Coturnix japonica: one gene and its partner. The protein of the gene in region 2 purifies or fractionates together with the protein of the main gene of each other region. This does not show direct contact. Links are inferred from orthologs where the notes say so. Each region holds a gene or a part of one and is shown on either strand. Other genes may lie near its edges.

Evidence for each region. The genes of interacting proteins can lie anywhere in the genome.
Region 1: the proteins of RAB11B (region 2) and PI4KB purify together in Homo sapiens (co-immunoprecipitation; 3 studies listed by BioGRID and IntAct, with this or other methods). This does not show direct contact. The link is inferred for Coturnix japonica from reciprocal best matches to the Homo sapiens genes RAB11B and PI4KB.

The regions. Positions count from the first base shown.
Region 1 is NC_029540.1:2,287,063-2,290,713, forward strand, and holds part of PI4KB (phosphatidylinositol 4-kinase beta), read right to left. Parts: intron 3,466-3,651; coding exon 3,421-3,465; intron 639-3,420; coding exon 411-638; intron 285-410; coding exon 57-284; intron 1-56. UniProt on the Homo sapiens protein: Phosphorylates phosphatidylinositol (PI) in the first committed step in the production of the second messenger inositol-1,4,5,-trisphosphate (PIP). May regulate Golgi disintegration/reorganization during mitosis, possibly via its phosphorylation.
Region 2 is NC_029543.1:321,903-326,014, forward strand, and holds the start of RAB11B (ras-related protein Rab-11B), read right to left. Parts: upstream 2,926-4,112; 5' UTR 2,911-2,925; coding exon 2,696-2,910; intron 2,413-2,695; coding exon 2,219-2,412; intron 1,826-2,218; coding exon 1,745-1,825; intron 1-1,744. UniProt on the Homo sapiens protein: The small GTPases Rab are key regulators of intracellular membrane trafficking, from the formation of transport vesicles to their fusion with membranes.

The sequences.
Region 1 (3,651 bases), on a different chromosome or scaffold from region 2:
CAGAAGGTTCTGCTGGCTGCACTGCGGGGTCTCTCTGTATGGCAGCACAGCCTCACCTCCACCTGCAGCTCCACGATGTCATCCACAGACCAGGCCTCGTCGTCGTTGTCGTAGTTGGGGACGGTGGTGAAGCTGCCTGTCCTCTGCTCAGCTGTGATCCCACACTCGGGGAGGTTCTCAGCCGACCGCGTGCTCCGGATTCGGTTCTCAGGGATCCTCGCTGGGACATTCGCTGTGTCGAAATTGTCACATTCAAGCACTTCCACGTAGATTAAATAGGGAGCCTGGAGGAAGCAAAGTGATGTTATGGGGCTGTTTGAGCGCAGAGCTGCTCTCTGGCCTCATGGGGTGAATGCTGAGCAGAGGGGGATGCTCAGAGAGGACCAAACCTTCTACACCCCAAAGCTCACCTTGTCCTTGGAGTTGAGCACCACCGCCTGCGTGTGAGGCACCCTGACCACGTGGTGGTCGAAGCCGGCCGTGGGCAGCCATGCGCGCGCAGGCAGTTTGTGGTTGAGCAGCGACAGCTCCGAGATGAGCCGCTGTGTTTTCTGCTCTTTGGTGGGCAGCGTGGCCAGGCGCTTCCCGATGGCCATCAGGGATTTGATGAACTCCCGCTCGGGTGCCAGCCTGACGGGCTGCAGGGGAAAGGAGGGCACAGAGTGAGGAGGGCTGCGGGTTGGGCATGCTGCTCATTTAGCTCCAGAGGGAACACTGCTCTCCCCATCCCACCCTGCGCTCCGATATGGGATGATCCAACGCCTCTCCCTCCCATCACAGACCCAGAGATCCCCTCCTGGAGCCCCATCAATCCCCACATCCACCCCACAGCTCCGGGATCCCACACAGCACAGCTCTGAGCCCCCTCTGTATCCCAATCATCAGGCACAGATCGAAGTGCAGCTTTGTGGCCCTCATAACCCGCAGGTGAAGGGCAGCCTTCGAAAGACAAAGTTCCCAATCAATCAGCACAAGGAGTGATTAATGGCTGATTTTTCGCCACGAGAAATGCAGGACTGAACTCACACACAACGTGCTCACTGCACAACCATGCAGGAAATGCACATGCAACAAGCAGCGGTGCATGAGAGAAGGCAGCAAAACAAAAACTGGCCAAGAGCAAAGGAAAGAAATGGTGGAAGAGGAGCAGCACTGCTCATTCCCTTTGGGAGGGGGCAATGGGAATGCAGTGTAGTCCTCATCTAAACCCCCCCCAGCCAGGGCTCAGCCCCACTGCTGCCCAAGGCACTTCTGCAGCCTTTGGGGCCATTCTGCTCTGTTGGATCCCATTTCTTCCCAGAGCAGAATGATGTCCTGGAGATGTTCTGCTCCTTCCAGCACCGCTTCCCTTTCTCTCCCACCGCTCTGCTATGGAATGTCTACAATCCAGGCTGCACAGCTGTGGGACTGGATGTGTGCCCACCCCGTGGGTCACTGTGGAGGCTACTTGGGACCAGGCAGCACTCCCAGCTGCCATTGTGCAAAGTCCAACCCAGTCCAGGCTGGGATCAATCCATGCAGCTCCAGCAGAGGCCCATCTTCCCCATCACTTTCAGCCCTGCTCCCCCCAGACCCCACAGCTCCTTCCCCTGATGCCAGCAGCACTGCACTGCTCCTCAACCCATCCTCTGCCATTCATGTTCTGGATGGAAACATTCAGCTCTCAGCTCCTCTGACCACAAACACGTGGCCAAGGACAGCCCTCCCCAGCCCATCTGCTCCAAGCACATCCCCCAGCTCAGCACTGCTTGGCATTATTGGGATTGAGATGAGGTTCTTCCCTCAGTCCTCCAAATCCAGGTGCCAACCCGAGATGTTGTATTCTGTGAGCCCACCCCCCCTTTGAGCCAACAAGGTGTGGGTCCCCCATCCTTCCCCATTGGTAAATTTGGGATAAATGCTTGCAAAGAGCCCAGGTGGCTGCACTTCTGCTTCAGATAAAGGAGCAGGGCTTGCACAGCCTGGAAGGAAAGCTCTCCTGGCTGAGGGTGCTCCTGCTATTGGCTATGGCTGCCTGGGGCTGCAGGGCTGGCACCATCCTGAGCCCTGAAAAGCAAAGGGAGGGCAGATACAGCAGCATCAGCCAACCCCCCACTTCCCTCCCAGCCTCTAGCGTGGACTCCTCACCTCCTGCTGTGCCTCCAAACACCGAGATGGAGGAGATCCCATAGGATCACTGAGGTTGGAAAAGACCACTAAGATCATCATGGCCAACCATCAGCCTACCCCCACCACTGTGCCCACTTATAGGGTCACTGAGGTTGGAAAAGATCCCTCAGGTCACCACATCCAACCCCAACCCATCCTCCCCATGCCCACTATCCACGTCCCTAAAAAGGACCACGCAGTCTTTAGGGTTGGAAAAGACCTCTGAGATCACCCAGTGCCACCCCATCCATCCCGCTCTGCCCAATTGCAGCACCACTGAAGTTGGAAAAGATCATTCCAGATCCCAACTCATCTCCCCAGCCCCCCTCACCATGTCCCCAAGTGCTACATCTCTGCCATTCTGCATTAGTGACCCCACCGCCTTCCCCTTCCAATGTACCAAGAAATACTTCCTAATATCCAACCTGAAAACAAAACCCCAAAGAGGAGAGCCCACATCTGAGCAGGGTTGGTGGGGGTGGCACAGCACTGTGCCATGGGTGCACTGCTGCAGGTTTGTTTCCTGCTCTCAGCAAAGGATTCTTGAGCTCCAGAGGAATATGAGGAGGGGATGGGTGCCCATGTGAGGTGCTGGGGATACCCCAGTCCCATCCTCCCCCTCCAGTTCCTACCCTGAGGGCTGTGGATGTATGAGGCATCACTTGCTGCTGCCCAGGGCAATGGGTTTGAGCATGGACTACATATTGGGATCCCACTGTAAATCCCAACCAGGGAACACGGAGAGGAGGAAGAGGAGGATGGAACAAATGAGAAAGATGCGATTGGCTCCAAACTGAAAGAAGGCTCACAGCAAAAGGAGGCTCTGCTGGGGGGTGCTGGGTTGGATTGACAGCCCAAAGTGCAACGCAAGGAGGGGGGGAAATGATCCGTGGAAGAAGCAAATGAAACCCCAGCTAGCAGAGGATTTTTGTTTCAAATAAGGACAAATTCAAGGAAAACAGCATTTCCTCTTTTGTCTGCAAACACTGTGACACAAAGGGCAGCGCGTGGCAGGGCAGGACTCACAGCTCAGTGGGAGGGGAAGCCCCCTCCATCGTGCCCACTTTGGTTTGGTGATGAGCAGCCAGGTCCAACCCCCAGCTGTGGGTTTGTTTGATCCCCAAATGGGGCAGAAAGCCTTTGGTGTGATGTCGGGGTCAGCAGTTACGTGGGGGTCGGTGCTGTGCGGCCGCAGTGGGGTTTGGAGGTGGGGGAGGCAGAGGAAATGCTGCTGTAGGACGGAGGGCCCAGGAGCAGAACAAAACCACTTACGGAACAGAATGAGTTATCAAGGCTTTCCGTGCTCGAGGAGAGCTCCTGGGAAATGGATGGAAGGGGTTTTGGTGGCCATTTTTGGGTGGTGGCAGCGCGGTCAGAGAGAGGAAGGAGGGGGGGGGAGGAGGAGAAAAAGCAGTAGTTTAGCTCCAGGTTCATCGCCATCACTTTGCATTTCTTGTTTCACTTTGCCCCCCATTGCAACACTGCTGCCTTCCATGCCGGGCT
Region 2 (4,112 bases):
AGGTGTTCCCTGCAACACAGCACGCGCTCACCTCGGAGCGAGCTGCCAGGAGAGGGAAGATTCAAGCTGTGAAAGGGAACCAGCTGTGCAGTGTAACGTCTGGGTGGCTTTCCAGCTCTGCCTGGAAGACCTAAAGGTTTCACCCTTCAGCTCCCGGTGAGCCGTCCCTACTGAAGTACAGGACCACCCGCTCCTCTCCGTTACAAATCAGTTTCCCCATCCGTGGCAGTAAAAATGAGGTTCCACGCAGCCCCACATTGATCTGCAAATGCCATCCCCGACAGAATTCATTTCATTGACTCCAAATAACTCATGCCTGAAAGCACAGATTCACCCCAGCTGTTAAAGGCAGCGTCCAGGTTAGAAGCTTTCAGAAGGAAACCATTCCACCTGCAGCGCCAGTAGAAATAAGTGGAAATATTTCTATTGCGCTGACTGTAGGACCTCATTCCAACTTCCCTCCATTGTGAGACAGGAAAAGGGCAAGCACCTCCCTGGAAGCCTGCAGTAAATATTATGGTCACATTCAAGCAGTCACAGCCGCAGGACAGGAACAGCCAAAGCCTTTAACAAGGGTTTTAAATGGTGGGGAATTGTAGGGTTTGGGCTCTTTGGTTTTTTTGTTTTGATGGAGCTCCAGTTCTGGCTCCATCTGTTACACAGGCAGCACTGAACTCTCCTAGAAAAACCTCTGGCCATTTTCTGTACCCAGAGTCAGGCTCAGAACAACACAACGAGGGAAGACAGGATGGATGGTGATGGCTGAGCCACGCTCAGGGCACTAAATCCACCGATACCATCTCAGAGCAGCACACGAGTCACCTCAGATCCAGCCAAGTGTCACAGATAAGCAGCACCTGCTCTCAAGGCCACCCTGCACAAGAGCTCAGGCTGCAGCTGCTCTTCTCTACAGCTCTGTCTCAGCAGCAGTATTCTCCAGTTACTTCTCCAGCAGCTCAACCCAAATCTTGCTGGGGAGCAGAACGTAACCCACTCTTCATCCATCAGGCTTTTTTACTCATAGAAGCAGCTTGACTACCCTTTTTTTTCCTCCTGCCCACCTCCTCTTGGTCATCTTTAACTGTAACACACCTCTGTGCTCACAGAGCTGCTCAGACCGACACCACAGCTCCTGCCTGTTTACCTCCACACTCTGCAAAACAAACCTGAAAGAGCCTTCAAGAATTCACCAGGTCAAAACTCAGCCATTTCCCCAGTAATAGGCTCTCATTCACATATAATCAAGGCACAGCAATAATAACCAGTTCTCTGGTCAGCGTCCAACAAGCAGCATACATCAGACACTTCCTGACAACCGAGCAGTACCAGAACAAAGGCTCATTCTCATTTAAGTTAAATCAGCATCTTGTCACCAAAAAACAAAAAATGCTCAGGAAATGCCCTTCTGGAGACGTGGTGGGACGTGTACATCAGGCACAGCTCCACAGAACAGTGCATGAGGGTGAGAATACAGAAATAGTTTATCCTCCCAGAATTCAGCTATTGAACCATAAAACTCAGGTAATGGGCCCACATCACTCTCAAGGAAAGAGAAAGTTCCCCATGCGTGTGGGTGGGGAAAAAGGTGCATGGGGTGGGGGTAAAACAGAGGTAAGGGGAGGCAGACTGCAGACATATAATCATTCCCAACACTCATTTCCAAAACAGTCTCAATAACTGCAAACTGTGCCCATGAAGAAGATTCACTATGTGGTAGGTCCACAGAACCCATAACAAACCATACCTGTAAGGATGTTCTTGAAGGCTTCTTCTACATTTGTGGAATCCAGAGCAGAAGTTTCAATAAAGGACAGGTTATTTTTTTCTGTAATAAATAACAAGTGGTTCAGTTAGGAACTCTATGCTCTCCATAGAACCAGGCCTCTAGGAATGAAGGACAGACACTCTGCATTGTGATATTTGACACTATATGAGGTATTTTCTCCTCTGAACATTTCCTGCTGTTTTTCAGCCTTCCCAGAGGAACTGTTTATGCTTCAGGTATCGGGCAGCTCAAGGATGCTGTTTTACAAACATGTGCTACCAACAGATTCAACAAGAAAAAACACCATCCACTATTTAACAAGCCAGCTACGAAACCTCCAATTCCCCTTTTTTTTCCCACATAATAATAAGCACAAGGCAAAAGTTAAATACTGGACAGTAGAGTGACCAGCACACTGAACTTGAGAAGCACCTGAAGGCCCCACATACCGACCTGCAAAAGCACGGGCCTCATCAGTGGGCACAGCCCTCAGGTGGCGCAGGTCGCTCTTATTGCCCACCAGCATGATGACGATGTTGTTGTCTGCGTGATCCCTCAGCTCCTTCAGCCAGCGCTCCACGTTCTCATAGGTGAGATGTTTGGCAATGTCATAGACAAGAAGGGCCCCCACAGCACCACGGTAATACCTGGGAGAACACAAAGGCACATTCCTTTAGAAAGGTCCAACAAACCCATTCAGAAAGCTGCGCTGATGCAAGTACTGCAGTTCTGTATGCTTTGTGTAATAACCATCCCCCAGAAATGAGTTCCAAATTCCAAATACTAATCAAATAGCATGATATTGTTACCTGATTACCTGGATCTACAGCAAGACCTGCCACAAGGATTCTGTCCCATCCAAATGCATTTCATTCAGTCCTTACCCGGAGATGTATCTGCCATAGTCCCAAAGAAAGACACGGTACTCACGCTGAAGTAATGGCACGGTATCTCTCCTGCCCTGCAGTATCCCAGATCTGTGCCTTTATCGTCTTCCCATCCACTTGGATGCTCCTGGTAGCAAACTCCACCCCGATGGTGCTCTTGCTCTCCAGGTTGAACTCATTGCGGGTGAAGCGGGACAGCAGGTTGCTCTTCCCCACTCCGGAGTCCCCAATCAGCACCACTGAAAGACAGGACATCATTTACCAGATGAACTCCCCACAGCAGCACTGTGCTGCCTGGCTGCTGCGCTGCTTCAGGCAGGGCCCACAGTAACAAGGGCGACGAGCTGCCCCTTGCATGCCCAGCCTTCTGTGGGATTTACTGCAGTTATTCCAGCCATCACCGTGCTCCCCACAGGAAGACATCTGATACTACAAACAAGCCAGAAAACAAAGCAGGACTTCACCCAACAGAACGAGTTCCAGTGGATTAGATGAGAAGTAGAAGACTGAAACTCTGCCTCCGCACAAGGTGTTGCCATGCTAACAGGAAAACATCAGTGCTCAGAGATTTCTAGGCCCTCCCGATCCATGCACAGCAGATTAGAGAACACCTCTCCCTGCACGCTTTCTGAATTAGCTCACCAGCATTCTCCCATGGCCACGAACTGGGCTGGTCCCTCTGTTATTTCAGCTTTGCTTTATTTTGTGCTCAGGCCATTGTTTCAGGCTCCAGCTTTGGCAGCTCCCACCCCGCTTCTCCCCACCCAGGACAGCTGGAGCCAGCTCCACGCAGTGCTCTGCCCTCCTAATGAACACACAGCTCGAGAAAGCACAGCTGCCTCTCCAGGTTGTACTCGTGTCTGTCCTCTGGCCTGTGAAGATGACCAGTTTCATGCATGAACTCTGCAAAAAGACCCTGGGTCATTAATCCATTGGCTGCAGGAAGAGAATTCAGGCGGTCCTGCTGCACTTTGCTAATTACCCCCTGTAATCCAGGTACCTTCAGTGCCTTCAGCTGCTCCATGCTCTGGCAGAGCATTTCTGAGATGTTACTGAATGCAGAAGTAATAAAGGCAGGCAACCTGATCCAAACTCAGCAACAAGTTCGTGCTCTCTCTACCTTACAATCAGCCTCTTGCTGCTCTCAATCAACTGTCAGGACTTTCTCTTTTAGCAGGGAGATCCAAAGACTGGAGACCCACGTACCTCTATGGGCACAGAGCAGGAAGATGCCTTTAAGCTTCTGGACCAAAGCAATCAGATACTGTGGAAATTCCTCAGTTTGGGAACGGGTTACTCAACAATACAGCCTGTTCAAATGCAGATGGAAAAAGAAAGCCCCAAACCAAAAGCAAGAGCCCAAATCCATACTACATCCATCAGAATACATGAAATCACACCCCTTCCACGGCCTTCGATCCCACTAATAAAGGCAAGGAACACTTGGAAATGACCCGAAC